Linked DNA regions of Mus musculus: region 1 is reported to be linked to region 2. Evidence: microRNA targets listed by miRTarBase, many of them from high-throughput screens and not tested one by one. Region 2 holds a microRNA gene; the other region holds the end of a gene's coding sequence.

The links. The annotated mature microRNA mmu-miR-1896 reads CUCUCUGAUGGUGGGUGAGGAG and lies in region 2 at 4,883-4,904, opposite strand. An mRNA with a match to its seed (bases 2 to 7 or 8) in the 3' UTR can be bound and repressed. Matches are read on the target gene's strand: a 7mer-m8 pairs with bases 2 to 8, a 7mer-A1 pairs with bases 2 to 7 and ends in A, and an 8mer does both.
Region 1: miRTarBase lists Gprc5c as a target of mmu-miR-1896. Seed matches in the 3' UTR shown: 7mer-A1 at 1,585-1,591, 7mer-m8 at 2,071-2,077 and 7mer-A1 at 2,832-2,838.

What each region holds. Positions count from the first base shown.
Region 1 is chr11:114,869,482-114,876,581 of GRCm38, forward strand. Gprc5c (G protein-coupled receptor, family C, group 5, member C) reads left to right here. Exons shown (of 5, transcript NM_001110337.1): 5 at 840-3,136. The coding sequence ends at 872. Among named protein-coding and RNA genes, the nearest start is that of Cd300a, 17 kb to the right of the region's middle.
Region 2 is chr13:21,442,995-21,450,112 of GRCm38, reverse strand. Mir1896 (microRNA 1896) reads right to left here and starts at 4,953; the gene lies at 4,873-4,953. It overlaps Zscan26 (zinc finger and SCAN domain containing 26), which reads left to right. Exons shown (of 6, transcript NM_001347491.1): 2 at 597-672; 3 at 780-839; 4 at 1,629-1,946; 5 at 2,219-2,327; 6 at 4,284-7,118. The coding sequence starts at 658. The coding sequence ends at 5,182. It overlaps 4930470G03Rik (RIKEN cDNA 4930470G03 gene), which reads right to left. Exons shown (of 4, transcript NR_151504.1): 3 at 5,920-6,042; 4 at 3,283-5,191.

The sequences.
Region 1 (7,100 bases), not on the chromosome of region 2:
GTGAGGCAGGCTGCCATTGTGCTCCAGGCTCTGAGATCATGCTACACTGCCTGAGTAGGTTGGCTTGTAGTGAGTCTGAATTGTTTACAATGGGAGTTAACAAGACAGTCAGGCAGGCAGGCAGGCCAGCCATGTGCTTAAAATTTGGGGATCAGGAAAAGTCTTCCCCCAACAGCCTAGGATCATTTCCATGGATGGTGGGTATGGGGGGCAGGGGTGTGGGAGAGGTCAACCAATAGGACAAGACCAGTCTTCTTCATTTCCAGAGCCAAAGTCTCAGAATGCTGTCACTTCAGGGTTATATGGGACCTTAAAAACAGTCAGTGCTCTTAACTGCTGAGCCATCTCTCTAGCTGCCCCCCAACCTCTTTTACAGTAAGCAAAGTGACACAGTCTTGCCATAGAGCCTCTAGGTGGCTGGACCAAGACTGATATCCCCAGCTTTTGTCCTTGGCCCTCCCTGGGAGAAGCCAGACCAGTGGCCTGGGCTCTGAGCTGCTTCTGTTCCTCATGGATGGGACAATATTCTGAACTTTGGATGCCAAGTCCGGATTCTTCAAGGGGACTTGAGAGCCTGCCCATCCATGTTTGTCATGGACTAGCCAGAAGCTATTTTCTGACACCAGTTGTAAGGGGAAAAAATAGGGTTGTTTTGTTGTTGTTGAGAGAAAAGGATTATTGGAAGAAGACTCCAGACTTCTCCAAACGTCTATATTTAGATGGCATTGCTCCCTGAGGACTGACTGAGACTTTAAATTTTTCTCTTAGTCCAATTCAGTACTTGGGCTGTGAGCAGTAGAATCCTCCATTTTGACATTTGTTCTTTCTGGTTACTTTAGGATCAGTCCCCGACTAATAAAACAAGATGGTAGATGCCCTCTTCCCTGGACCACACCTCATCTGGATCCCTCAATGCTCTGCATCCATCTGAGCAGGGCCAGCAGCTTTCCCACCTGTCCTTGGAACTGGGAGGGACCAGAGGCCACCAATTTGAAACAGTGGACTGAGTCGGGACCTTGGGATAGGCCTGAAATATGTGACTGGTGCTCATAGGGCCACCTGTCCCTTGCCCATCCCAACCTCCTGGTATCCAAGAAACTGCAGCTACAGGGAGTGAACTGTTGACTCCCATCTCCTGCCTTAACACATCCCTCAGGTCACAGTGTCTGTGTTCCCATGTGGTTCTCCAGGTTGCTGTCTCGCTGTGAATGTCCAGTGTGTGACGGACCTTCTTGGCCATGTTGGTGTCCCGTCAGCATGTCTCACAATGGACATCAGGTGAATCTTTGTGAGTCTTTGGAGACAAGCCACACAACAGAAGTTGTCCCTTACCCTACTTAGGGCCTGCTGCACCTTCTAGGAGGTCACTGGCTAGTTTGGGCAGGCTGTTTCTCATGACCTGAGGGTCTCAGGTCCCAGCACCTTTGAATCTGGATGGAGTCTACTATACCTTCAGTGGGTCGTGTCCCCTCACCAGGGCAGGACCAGTCGGCCTGTTCTGTCCTCCCCACTGCCCATCACCATTGAAGATGGCAGTTACACTGGTCCCATCTGAGGAAGCTCTTCTTGTCCAGCCCTGCCACACAGAGAACCCACATCAGAGTTGAAGAGCCCGTGGGCCACAGTGGTGCTAGGGTTTTGCACCGTTTGTATCTCAGTTAATCCCCTGTTTGAATCTCCCCCAGTCTCCTTTTGCCTTCTGTGCTAGCTTCCTGGGGTAGCTCCTGGGACAGGTGCAGATGTGGATATTGCTGAATTACCTGGATCTCACAGGTTCTGGAAGCACCTGCTTGGGCTACCAGGACATACGTGGGGTCTGGGAGTTCCCTTAGGACATGTGGGTGGAATTCAGGGCTGCATTCTCAGGGTGAGTTGAACCTTTCCTGTGTCCGACTGGTGGGATGTGCGGTCCAGGACTGTAGATCGCTTATGGAAAGACGTCTTAAGTTTCTACCTCAGTTTGGGCAGCAGCCGTCCTTGGGACACATGGACATGATCTGCTGCTTTCAACATTAGAGGAGAGTCCTTGGCCTTAGGACATGCACCGGAGGCACCCGATGGCCACCCAGGTCAGAGAGGGCCATTTTCAGGCCTGCAAGCTGCTGACACCAGTGGCTGAGATGGTGTCATGGTACCAGACCCTGGACTCGAGATCTCCAGAACATCATTCTTTGTTCTACTTTTGGGTACCAGACAGAGCCTCTTCTATACCCTTTCCCCCAAGTGTGCTAACTTGGCCCTCAGCCCAGTCCTGCTTAGTGCCAAGGTAGAGGTAAAGATGAGTGGATTCCCAGGATAGCCAGGCACTCCATGCCTAGTTCTCATGCCATCCCCAGCAACCTGTGCCTTTTATCATTGGATGAAAGGTTCCCACAGAGTAGGACCATACCTCCAAATGATACTCCTCTTGCCCTCTGCTGACTGAGGATGCTTGGTCCTTCCACAAGGGAACCGGTCTCCATGCACCTCACACTGTTCTTGATCTAGAGCCCCAAGATCTGCCGCAGTAAGCGAGGGACTAGTTTGCTGTCTTAAATGAGTCCTTTAGGATGCAGAAAGCCCCACATCCCTAGGTGTGTAGCCTGTGGTGGGTGTGGCTGTGTTTATAGCCCAAGGCCTGCCTGCACCTGAAGCTGAGGAGTGATTGGAGGCTCCTGGAGGATGTAGGCTATTTGGGAGTGTCATGGTTACCCTTCATGGCAACCCTGCGACTTTTAGTTCCAGTTCCAGTGGAGAAGTACATTTTTCACTTGGGAGGCAGAAGCAGGCAGATTTCTGAGTTCGAGGCCAGCCTGGTCTACAAAGTGATTTCCATGACAGCCAGGGCTATACAGAGAAACCCTGTCTCAAAAAAACAAAACAAACAACAACAAAAAAAAGTACTTTTTTTTTTTTTTTTTTTTTAGGAGGGTTGGGGGCCTCCAAATGAACAGCTCTGTATCATACACAAGCCTTGAGTGGGAGACATCAAGTAGGTCCAGGCTTGATCCAAGCTCATCATTTGCAGGCCACTATCCCTTAATAAATGTCACACGGACCCTATTAAATCCTATAGTGGATGTAAAGGGAGGCTCAACCTTGTAACTGCTCAGAATTAAACGACTGCCCTTTCTTTGTGAGGGGTTACTGCCTCTGTTCCTGTGTGTTTCTAAGTGATTGTGGAATGTCAGTGTCAGCTGCCTTGCCTGCCTCTCTCTCCCCATTCCCCCATCTCAGCTACAGTAGCTGTTGGATTACAACTAACTAACTTCTCTCCGGTTAGAGACTTTAAAGGAGAAAACCAGGCCGCTGAAAGATATTTGAATTCTCAGCTGGATACAGTGTTGCAAGCCTTTAAGCACTTTGGAAGACAGAGGCAGGCAGATCTTTTGTGAGTTCCAGGACAGCCAGGACTACATAGAAGAAACAAACAAACAAACATTGAATTCTTAACCAGCCAGGCGGAGAGACAAAACGGTTCCCACGTGAGATGTAGGAGGGGTACGGTGGGAAAGGGGACACCCTCAGATAACTACCCAGCTATGCCTGGCATGGTTGGGAGGCAGGGCACAGACCGTTTCTTCTTTGTTAAAATGCTTTGTTCACAGGCATGCTGGGCCAGAGATGATCACAAACAGCTGCCCCAAGCCTGGGGGCCCTGTCATGGCCACACCCAGCTTGCTCTTGTGGCCCATTGTACTTGTTCAGCAGCAGCACTTCGGCTTCTTGCAGAAGAAAGCAAGACACAGAAAGGTTGGCTGGCTTACCCAGCTGTCACCGCACAGGCACCAACCAACATTCTCACCAAGACCAGCACCCCCTCCTGCTCTGCAGAGGGCACGCCAAGGTTGTGCTCAGGGGGCTGCTAAGCAGACTTCCTGCCTGCTGTCTCAGGGCTGGGTCCTCCAGGAAGCTACAGCCCCGTTTACAGCAGCAGCATGAATTATTTAGCATCTGCACCAGCCAGAGAGCTCTGACCTCATCCTCCTTGGGCCCTCTGGGGCTCTGACCTCATCCTAGTTGAGGAAAGGTATCTGTTAATAGCCACGAGTGGGGGTGGTGGGTCCCATTGGGGTGTTAATAATGGGGTGGGGGTGACTCTTTGAGACCAGCACTCTCAAAGAGACTCAATTAGCCTTGTAGCAGGAAGTGACAGGAAGTGAGAGGAGAGTTCTATAGCATGTGTAGAGATCAAAGGTTGATTACTAGCTGTGGCCTTCCACAGTCCTTTTCACCTTTCCCTAGTCTCTGCTCATCTGTAAAATAGGAGTGACAACCTTTGGATATACTGAAGAGCACTCACACAAAAGTCACATTCAAGCATAGCACTCAAGTGTGTCCTCCCTAGACTATTGGGCCTCTAGACTGGATCATTTGCTGTCTGACCTTGGACTTAACTCTGTTTGTCCCAGGCACTGGATTCCCAAGGTGGGTGCAATAGCTGGGTTGGGGCTTGGAGGTATATGTTGGCATATCTTGGCAGTTCTCTGATGTGTAGGGGGAAACATATTGGTGGGTGGCCTACTTGCACAGGAAATCCAAATAGCCAGGCTGGAGGGCTGGGACCAGACAACTGTCCCCCAAGTACCCATAGGTGTATCAAGAGGAGTGACTGTTGTTCCTCCTCTTTACAAGGAGAGACTGGAGCTCTGAAGAAGTTGTGGAGGCTTCAAATGACCATTTCAGAATGGTAGTAACTCTGGGCCACAGAGCATCCTCATGGTGTGGCCTGACTGTCCTGCTCCATCTGGGTTGGAGTTGGGAAGATACAGCAGTCTCTGCCCGAGGTCTGCAGTAGAACTAGCCAGATGAAAGGTCGCTTCAGGGTTTTGCCTTCCACAGAGGAGCTGAGGGGGTTAGGAGGCTCATCCTAGCCAGCTGTCTGCCTGCAGGTTCCCCCAAGCCAGGGGGAGGAGGAGACGCTCCCTGAAGTGTCCATAAAGAGACAGAAGTTCACATCACCCTCCCAGGGCACTTTGAGGGTGCAAGGGGTGGGGACCTGGGAAGGTTTCACAGAGTCCCAATCCAGAGGTCCCAACCCTGCCAGGACTCCAGGGTTCTGGGCGCAGGAGATCTTGTGCCTCCCTTTCCCACCACAAACACCCCACTCTCTCCTAGGCTCCTGGAGTGTATGTTTTGGGTTGAGGGGAGGGGGCCCTGAATATCTGGAGCTCGGCTGTCACTCTCCTTGTAGGGCCTGATTTCTATTCTCACCTAAGCCCCACCCGGACACCCTGCAGTTGGATCCCCCTGAGTGCCAGCCAGCCATCACCAACTGCCCCTAGCTGTCTCTGAGCCTACCCAGGTCTGGGTGAGGATGGGTAGGGGGATGGGTAGGAGTGTTGGGGTTATTGGGGGCAGCCCACGGTGCCCCAACCCTGCTCTGCTAGCCTCACCTATAGGGATCTGGTGCAGAAGTCTCACCCTATCCACTCCACCAGACCAGGATCATGTCTGACCCAGTCTAGCTCAAGAAGCAAGACCCTATCTGCAAAGAGGGCAGATGCCTGGACCAGCCAGCCTGGGGAGGGAGCCCCTCCACTGTCTTGGTCGGGCTTCAGGGGACAGTCACTACTGACATTAGGGAAAGAAGATATTCTTTTGTTGGGAACAGTGTGTGGTAGATGCTAAGTGGGACCCTCTATCGGCTAGATACCAGGATCTCCAGGTCCCAGGTTGTGACAATCAAAAATGCCTGGGGATGTGACAAATGTTGGTTAGAATTCATTATCCAACCCATGGGTTGGTTCCCTAGGGAATTACAGGGGCCTCAGCCAACCTTACCCGGACCCTGGGAATCCACATAGTCCCAGATTTTGTTTGCTTTCTGGGCTGCTTCTCTGGGGAGGAGCACAGGCAACAAGTGACGGCCAGCTCACTACTTACTGCCTGGTGAGCTGAGCTGTCTTGGGACGAGAATGCCAGCCAGACCAGTCTGTTTGCTGTACACAAACAGCAGGGGATCTGGGCCACCAGAGACCCACAGTCAGGGCCCAAGGTCAAGGGAGAGTCTGGGTAGCAGGTGCCCAGCTGCAGGTCACAGCAGGGGGCAGGCTACACTTGACTGAGCACAGCCCTCTGTCTTGTGACTCTCAGAGGGATAAATGGACCCAACACACACACACACACACACACACACACACACACACACACACACCCCCGTAGCCCGGGCAGATTCCCTAACCAGCCCCTGCACCAGATGCCTAGAGGGAATGCTCGGCGAGCAGGGATGGGGACACGGGGGCAGGATGCTATAGGTCCGGAACTCTACCCCACATGCAAAGAACTTTTCAGGAGAAACCAATCACAGACTCAAAGCAGATGGTTTTAGTAGCCCGCTTATACCAACACCCCCCATATCCAGATGCCCTTATTTGCATAGAGGGACTCTGATAAGAAAGTTGGGGAAATAAAGTTCAGGTTCGTGTGTGTGTGTGTGTGTGTGTGTGTGTGTGTTGCCAGGCAGAGGAGGCAGAGACTTTTACTGCCTTGCTGTTTTTTCTACCCGGTCTTTCTTTCCACCCCTTTCTTTCTCTATTTTCACTGTGGAAAATAAACCATGAATTTGATTTCCTAATTTACTGCAGTGCCGGGGGTGGGGTGGGCTTGGAGGGGGTGTAGAAGGCAAGGTCTTGAACCTGTGAGGCAAGGGCACAACCCCCCACCCCAGCTCTAAATCACCAGTTTTAAAAAGAGGTTTTATTATTTTGGACTCCCTGGAACTGGAGTTACAGGTGGTTGTAAACCACCTACTGTGGGTGCGGGGAACTGAGCTCAGGTCAGGGGGAAGGGCAGCTTGGGTGCTTGGGGCTGGGGAAATGAATAGCTCACTTGCAGCTCCTGCAGAGGACACGGTGGGATGGGCCACTGTCTCAGAGAAGAGGAGGCGGGCTGAGGAAGGCTGACTCAACAGTTAAGATTGCTCTTGGAGGTGTCTGGTTCTCAGGTCCCACAGCAGGTCTCGAGACCACCTGTAACTCCGGCTCCATGTGATCTGATGCCGGATCACCTAGTCTTTGAAGGTTCTGGTATACACACGCATGCACACACACACACACACACACACACACACACACACACACACACACACTCACACACACACCTTAAAAAAAAAAACCTCA
Region 2 (7,118 bases):
GTTTTGTTTTTAATGCAAGCATTGGATTTCAAGTGGTTCACTTAGCTGTGTCTCCTTAATCTAGAACAATAACCTCCTAGCATACATCTGCTTTTTTGCTTTGGGGAAATTGGATTCATGCCTGTCATAGATTGTCTGAGTTCTGGATTTCTCAGAAAGTTTCCTCAGGAAATTCATGATAAATAATATTTATTAAAAGTGTTCCATAGGTAATGGGGCCTTGTTGTTGATGCTGCTACACTTGGTCTTTTGGGTACATTTGCAGCTGCCAGGTACCTTTATCTTCTTTTTATTGCTACACAGCAGCTGGTTAGCACTGAGAATGCTCTGTTCTCCCCTCTTCTCACCCCGTGCTTTTAGCATTCGTGTGTGCCTCTCACCTGAATCATTTGAGAGTTTTAAATGGCAGTTTTTCAAATCTATTCCAATTTCTAGTTTAGGTGGCAACCTATGAAAGTTTTCTCATTTTGCTTATATATTCTTAAGAGTAGCTACTTTGGAGAACACAAATGACTAGAAGGAAACAACCCTCAGGAAAGATGACTTGTTGCTGTTGTTATTACTAGCACGGCTGTTTCTGTGACTTGTGTTTTTAGGAGTGTCTCTCAGGATACAGTCAAGAGAAAAGTCTCCAAAACAGAGTGCCTGAAGCAAGGGATGGCACTGGCCTTGGTGAGTGCGTGTTCATCATCTTTCCTTTTTTTTTCTTTTTAACTTCTTTGAGAGTTTTCAACAACATGTTCTGATCATATTCTGTTCCCACACATACCTCTTCCCAGATCCACCCTAGCAAGCGTGCATACTCTTTGGCTCCCCTGAATCTGAAGGAGGAGCTTCAGGTAATGAGAGAACCACTGTTGTTCATGGTGTCAGAGGTCTGGCCTGGGGGGGTCCTAACAGACTAAATTTAGCGACTTGTCGCTCAGTCCAATGAGAGAGACGATTGGTAGTGAAGCAAGATAAGAATCAGTTATTTAGCAAGTCCATGTTGGGAAGAAACAGGAAAACAGTGCCCTGACTCAGAATTAAATGGGGGAAAGGACAAGAGCCGAGGTGAAGGGGAGCAAATAGCAGTCCTTGTCAGTCTGTCTTGGACAGACTGGTCAGTCAGTATTTCGTGCTGGTTCTGTAAAGTCCTGATCCCTCCAGCAAAGTCATTACTGCTGAGGCAGCCAGTGCTGGCCAGTGGATCCCATTATGGGTGATCTGTCTGCAGAGTTCTTGGGGTCATGAAAATAACTTATTCTTATCTTGGTGACATTAGCCTTAAAAGGGAACTAGAAGCTGTGTGTAGTGGTATAGGACTTTAATCCCAGCACTCAGTAACAGGTAGATCTCTGTGAGGCCAGCTTGGTATATTTGGTACCAAGTTCCAGGCCAGTTACAGCCACATAGTAAGAGCCTGTCTCAAAAGAAAAGAGGAGTGGGGCTACTAGCAAGGCTAGGGAAATTAGGGACTATCAAGCTTTGTTCGCCAGTTGTCAGAGAGACAGTTCTTGAATGATTAGGATATATGTGCAGAGTTGAGTAGAAATCTGACTTTAAAGTTTAAGGTAGCTAAGGAGACATAGTTGTAGATCCAAGTCTGTGCTTTAAGCCACTGTTAAAACTACTGTGCTTGGGAACAGGGATTCAAAGTTCAAGGGGACAGAAAAGGCGTTGGGCAGGAGCCATTGTGCAAACAGTTCAGGCAGCTGCGCTATGAGGAAAGCACTGGACCTCGAGAGGTTTTACGCCGGCTCAGGGAGCTCTGCAGACAGTGGCTGCGGCCTGAGACCCACAGCAAGGAGCAGATCCTGGAGCTGCTGGTACTGGAGCAGTTCCTGACCATCCTGCCAAGAGATCTGCAGGTCCAGGTGCTCGAGCACCACCCAGAGACTGGGGAGGAACTGGTGGGAATACTGGAAGATTTGCAGCTGGACCGTGGAAAAGCAGGAGAGCAGAAGGTAAGGGGTGCAGGTGCCCATTTGCAGGAAAGTAAGAAGTGAGCCCCCAGGTCACATAGGCGGACATGAGCACAGCAGCGGGCGGGGCACTGCTCACTGCTGGTCAGTGTGGGCCTCGCCTCACCCTTGCCATCCCCGGTGAGGCTGAAGTGTAAGGAGGCTCTCCGTTCTGCCTCTTCTTAGCCTCTTGAAAGGTTTCTTTGTTCTCTTTTCTGACATTGAAGTGGTTTTTTTTGTAAACCGGTTTCCTAATTATCTGTACTTATCTCTAGGACTCAGCCCAAAGAAGCAGACCAACGGTGCTGGTTGGCGAGCCAGCCCCTCGCAGGGAAGCACGGGAGCAGCCTGGGTGTGCGCTTCCTCAGAAGCCTGAGGAGAGAGGTAAGAACCAAATGGCATCTTTTTGCATTTGAATTATGGTAGGCCATGCAGTGCCTCTGCCTTGGCACTCGGCATTTTGGTATTTGTTTTTATTAGGCCTGTTGTGGCTTAATTTGTATACATAATCTAAACTGTAGCCTCTCTAGTCAGTGCAGGTTTTTGTTTTGTTGTTGTTGTTGTTTTGTTTGTTTTTGTATATACAATAAACTTAGTAACACAGTCAAGATTTAAAAGATCTACAACTCCAAACAATTTGAATGAACAACACACCAAGAAGTGGAGCTGAGCCTACCTGTTGCTCTTCCCTGAGGCAAAAAAGTCTCAGACAGAGTTTCCTTATTCCCTTTCCTAGCTCCTTCAAATCACTGTGAATGGCAGTGCTGAGGGTGGGGTGTTAATCAGTTTCTTTGGCTCTGCTTTGTTACTGTTCTATTTCTTACTTTTAGTCTCAGTCTCTCTCTCTCTCTCTCTCTCTCTCTCTCTCTCTCTCTCCCCTCCCTCCCCTCCCCACCCCCTTCTTTTTTTTTTTTTTTTTTTTTTTTTGACACAGGGTCTTCCTGTGCAGCTCTGATTGATCTCAACTACAACTATGTAGATCAGCTGGCCTTGAACTCTCTAATGTCTTTGATGCTTTCACTAAGTTATGTTGTAGTCTTCTCTGTCACTTAAATACGAATGTATAGATGTCTCTCCTTGCTTAGATCCCTTAGTGAACTGGGAAATGCTATTCTGTTTTTTCACATGAAGTACTGTGGCCACATTGGGAAGAGGAACCGAGAGATAGAGCTTTCGCTCTCCTCAGGCAATAGCGAATTGTGCTGCGCCTCCCACTCACCCGCACTCTGTTGGCCTGTTTGTTTCCATTTCCCCTTCCTGTTTCTCTCTTCTGGCTCCCTCCTGCCTCATTCATTCTATCCCCTGCTCCAGGCTCCCCATTCACTCACTGTCTGGGTCAGTGTCCTCGCCTGCTCGCTCACGGGAAGTTAGCTTCCAGTTTCTGGCTTCTTTCTCTCTTTCCATAGTTAAAGAGCCAAGTTTTGTTTTGTGCCCTGAATCTGCTATAGATCCCCTCTGAGGGGAACAAATCATATTTCAACATGATGTTTTTGTGAATGCATTATTCTCAAGGTCTTATGCTCCCGGTACTGTTGATTTATTGTTAAGAACGTAAACACTTTTTCCAAGATTACATACTACTCAGTGATAAAATTGGCACCATGTCAACTCATCTTCATTTGTCAAAGTACCTTCCCTGCTTAACTTGATGGTCCTCGGGTGACCTGATTTATGGTGCTTTTTTGTTTCCCAGGTGACAAATCATGATCAAGAATATGCAGTCATGCTTAGTAGCTTCTGTGTGTGTAACATATGTCACATAATAAAATATAGAACATTTAAAATAAATCACCTCCCACCACAACCCCTGCCCTTCCCCAAAGCCAATCTGGTTAACACTTTCCCAGATGTCAGGCTGGACGTGGTGGTGCTGTAACTGTGGGACCTGAGAGGAGAGGATTAGGTTAGGCCATGTTATTCTGCATAGTGAAAACTTACCTCAAAAAAAACAAACAAAACCACAGTTTCTTGTAAATCACTCTTTATATATATATAAAATAATCATGAGCAAAATTTTGTTGTTGTTTTTTTACTTTGTGAGGATTGAAGCGATCTCATCTCTTAAGAAAACTTTTACAGAGGATCTGGTTTCAGTTCCTGTCAACTACATTGCAGCTCACAACATTCTGTAACTCCAGTTTCCGGGAACTGGACAGCCTCTTACGGTTTCCTTGGCACTGCATGCATGTTGTGTACATGCATACATGCAAATAAAACACACATAACATGTTTTTACATTTATACACATGGCTTTATTTAAGTATTTCCTGCTATTTGCAGATTCCTTTCCCTGAACACCAAAAATAAAATAATTAGTGATATATATATTTACTATTTCAGGTAAAGAGACAAGGAGTGAGAATGGGAATCTCATTGCAGGGACAGACTCTTGTGGAAGAATGGAATCATCTTGTACCATGACTGAACCCATTGAGGCCCAGTGTGAGGACCTGAGCTTGAAAAAGAATCCAGCCATGCCCAAGGAAAAAACTAACAGCCAATGCTTGGAAACTAAGGAGAGACTTGTTCAGAACTCAGGCCTGATTGAACATGACAGGGCACATACAGGAGAAATGTCCTGGGAATCTGTAGGATCTCAGAGTTCTGTTGCTGCTGACCATCAGGAAATCTCTAAAGACAAAGGTCATCCCTGCCAAGAGTGTGGGAAAGTCTTTCAGAGAAGTTCACACCTCATCAGACATCAGAAAATCCATCTTGGGGAGAAGCCTTACCAGTGCAAAGAGTGTGGAAAAGTCTTTAGCCAGAATGCAGGTCTTTTGGAGCATCTCAGGATCCATACTGGAGAAAAACCCTATCTGTGTATCCATTGTGGAAAGAACTTCAGGCGAAGCTCTCATCTTAATCGACACCAAAAAATTCACAGTCAGGATGAGCCCCGAGAATGCAAGGAGTGTGGGAAAACCTTTAGTCGGGCCCTCCTCCTCACCCACCATCAGAGAGTCCATGGTCGTTCCAAAAGACATCACTGTAATGAGTGTGGGAAAGCCTTCAGCTTGACCTCCGACCTTATTCGACATCATAGGATTCACACTGGAGAAAAACCTTTCAAATGTAATGTGTGTCAGAAAGCTTTCCGCCTAAATTCACACTTAGATCAGCATGTTAGAATCCACAATGAAGAAAAACCCTACAAGTGCAGTGAATGCAATGAAGCCTTCAGGCAGAAGTCTGGTCTCTTTCAGCATCAGAGACATCACCATAAAAGCAAACTGGCTTGATGAGGTTCTCTGTTTGAAACATGGAAATGTTACATTGATAAGCAAACAGCGCCTTTTGAAAGAACTCACGACGGCTTCAGGATTCTTGGAAGCCATTTGCCTCCGTTGTGTCCCTCTCTTGGCTTTACTTAAAGTCATAATTAGACTATAATAATTTACCAGAATAGCAGAATCAGAGTTAAACAAATATTCACTACAGAGCTTCTCAGAGCTTTCAGTGTGATAAGTACTTGATTATGTATCTCTTAAGTATTAGCTTTATGTGTGAATGAAGTGTTTGAAATCAGTAAGTCAAGTGCCTATAGATTTATACAGGACAAGATCAAGCTGATATTTTTGTAAGTACTGTAGCAACAGGCTCCTAAAACATAAAATTAATGAGGGTTGGGGATATGCTCAGTGGTTTAACCAAGTTGCTATGCAAGTGGAAGGACTGTTTTGGATCCCCAGCACCCATGTAAAGTCAAATGAGTATGTGGCCAGCCTGTGGCCTGTGGTCCCACCCCTCAGGTGGCAAAAATGGGATCTTTCTAGCAAGCTGGCTAGCCAGACTAGCTGTATCAGCAAACTTTGGACTCAGGGGAGGGAGTTTGGAGAGCAGTCGGTGGAGTTCTTGAGGAAGACTCCTGATGATAATCTAAGTGCACATGTGTCCATACGTATGTAGAGCCATACCTGCAAACATCATACATGTGAAAAGACAAATCCTAAGGAGCTAGAGTTAGCAGTTAACATACCTGCTCTTGCAGAGGACCCATCCATTTTCAGTTCCTAGCACCTCCATAGCACAGCGTCTCACAGTTCCAGTTCTGGGGATCTGCTAGCCTTCTCAGGCTTCTGTACACAGTGGTCCACAGAAACTGGTGGACACACACACACAACTGGTAAAATATTTTTAAGCCCAAAATAAATCTAATAATGCTTAGAAATACACATCCTCAAGGGTCTAACGTAGGTTAACTGAACATTTTCCCTGTTAGGTTCACACAAACACTGGCTTCATATCCACTTTACCTTTGTACCATCAATGAATGCATTTCTGAAAGCTTTTGCTGTTTAACTATAGAACCTACCCTTAGGATTAGCTCATGTCATTTTACATTTCCTGCCCATTTTAACCACAGTATCACAGTGTTTCAAATTATAAATCAAAGTTTTACCTAAACTATGCAAGAGACTTTGAGTCATTTGAGTGAACTGTGTTGAAGTATTCTAAGCAGCGACCTCCTTACTGGGCAGCAACAGTGCCAGTACAGTGACTGCTTGAAGGACACCTTTTTTCATGAATGTCCCATGGGGGGAAATGGGGTTTTCCCCCTTTGATACCAATGATGCAAATTTAAATGCTACTTGTTTTGATATTATTTTGACCATGCAAATCAAATCAGCTCGGAGAGATCATGGCCATCAGGTCATATTGACTGTCTTGCTAGTGATGAAAAGTAATAAGCTTGGAGTCTTCCCAAGCCCAGCACCCGACTGCTAAACATGGCTTATGGTTGGTAATTGCACAGGGTGTACTTCTCAGGGAAAGGGCTTCTTAAGTTATGCCGCTTTGGGAAGAGAAGGGGACCCTTGTACTGACTACAACTTGGTTTCACTACACTTGACTTACAAATAAGCCAAGAACTTAGCAACATAGAAATGCTTATTTTTCTTGTCCGATAGAAAAGGATAGTCAGTCCAAAACAGATCCATGGTAAACCTAGTCAGCTTGCTGCCAGTCATGTCTAAGGAGGGGACAGGCCAAGGACTGCTAGGCACCTAGGTGCAATTCTGACATTAATCTTCTGTTTCATGCCCTTTTTTTTTTTTTTTTTTTTTTTTTTTTTGGTTTTTCGAGACAAGATTTCTCTGTGTAGTCCTGGCTGTCCTGGAACTCACTTTGTAGACCAGGCTGGCCTCGAACTCAGAAATCCGCCTGCCTCTGCCTCCC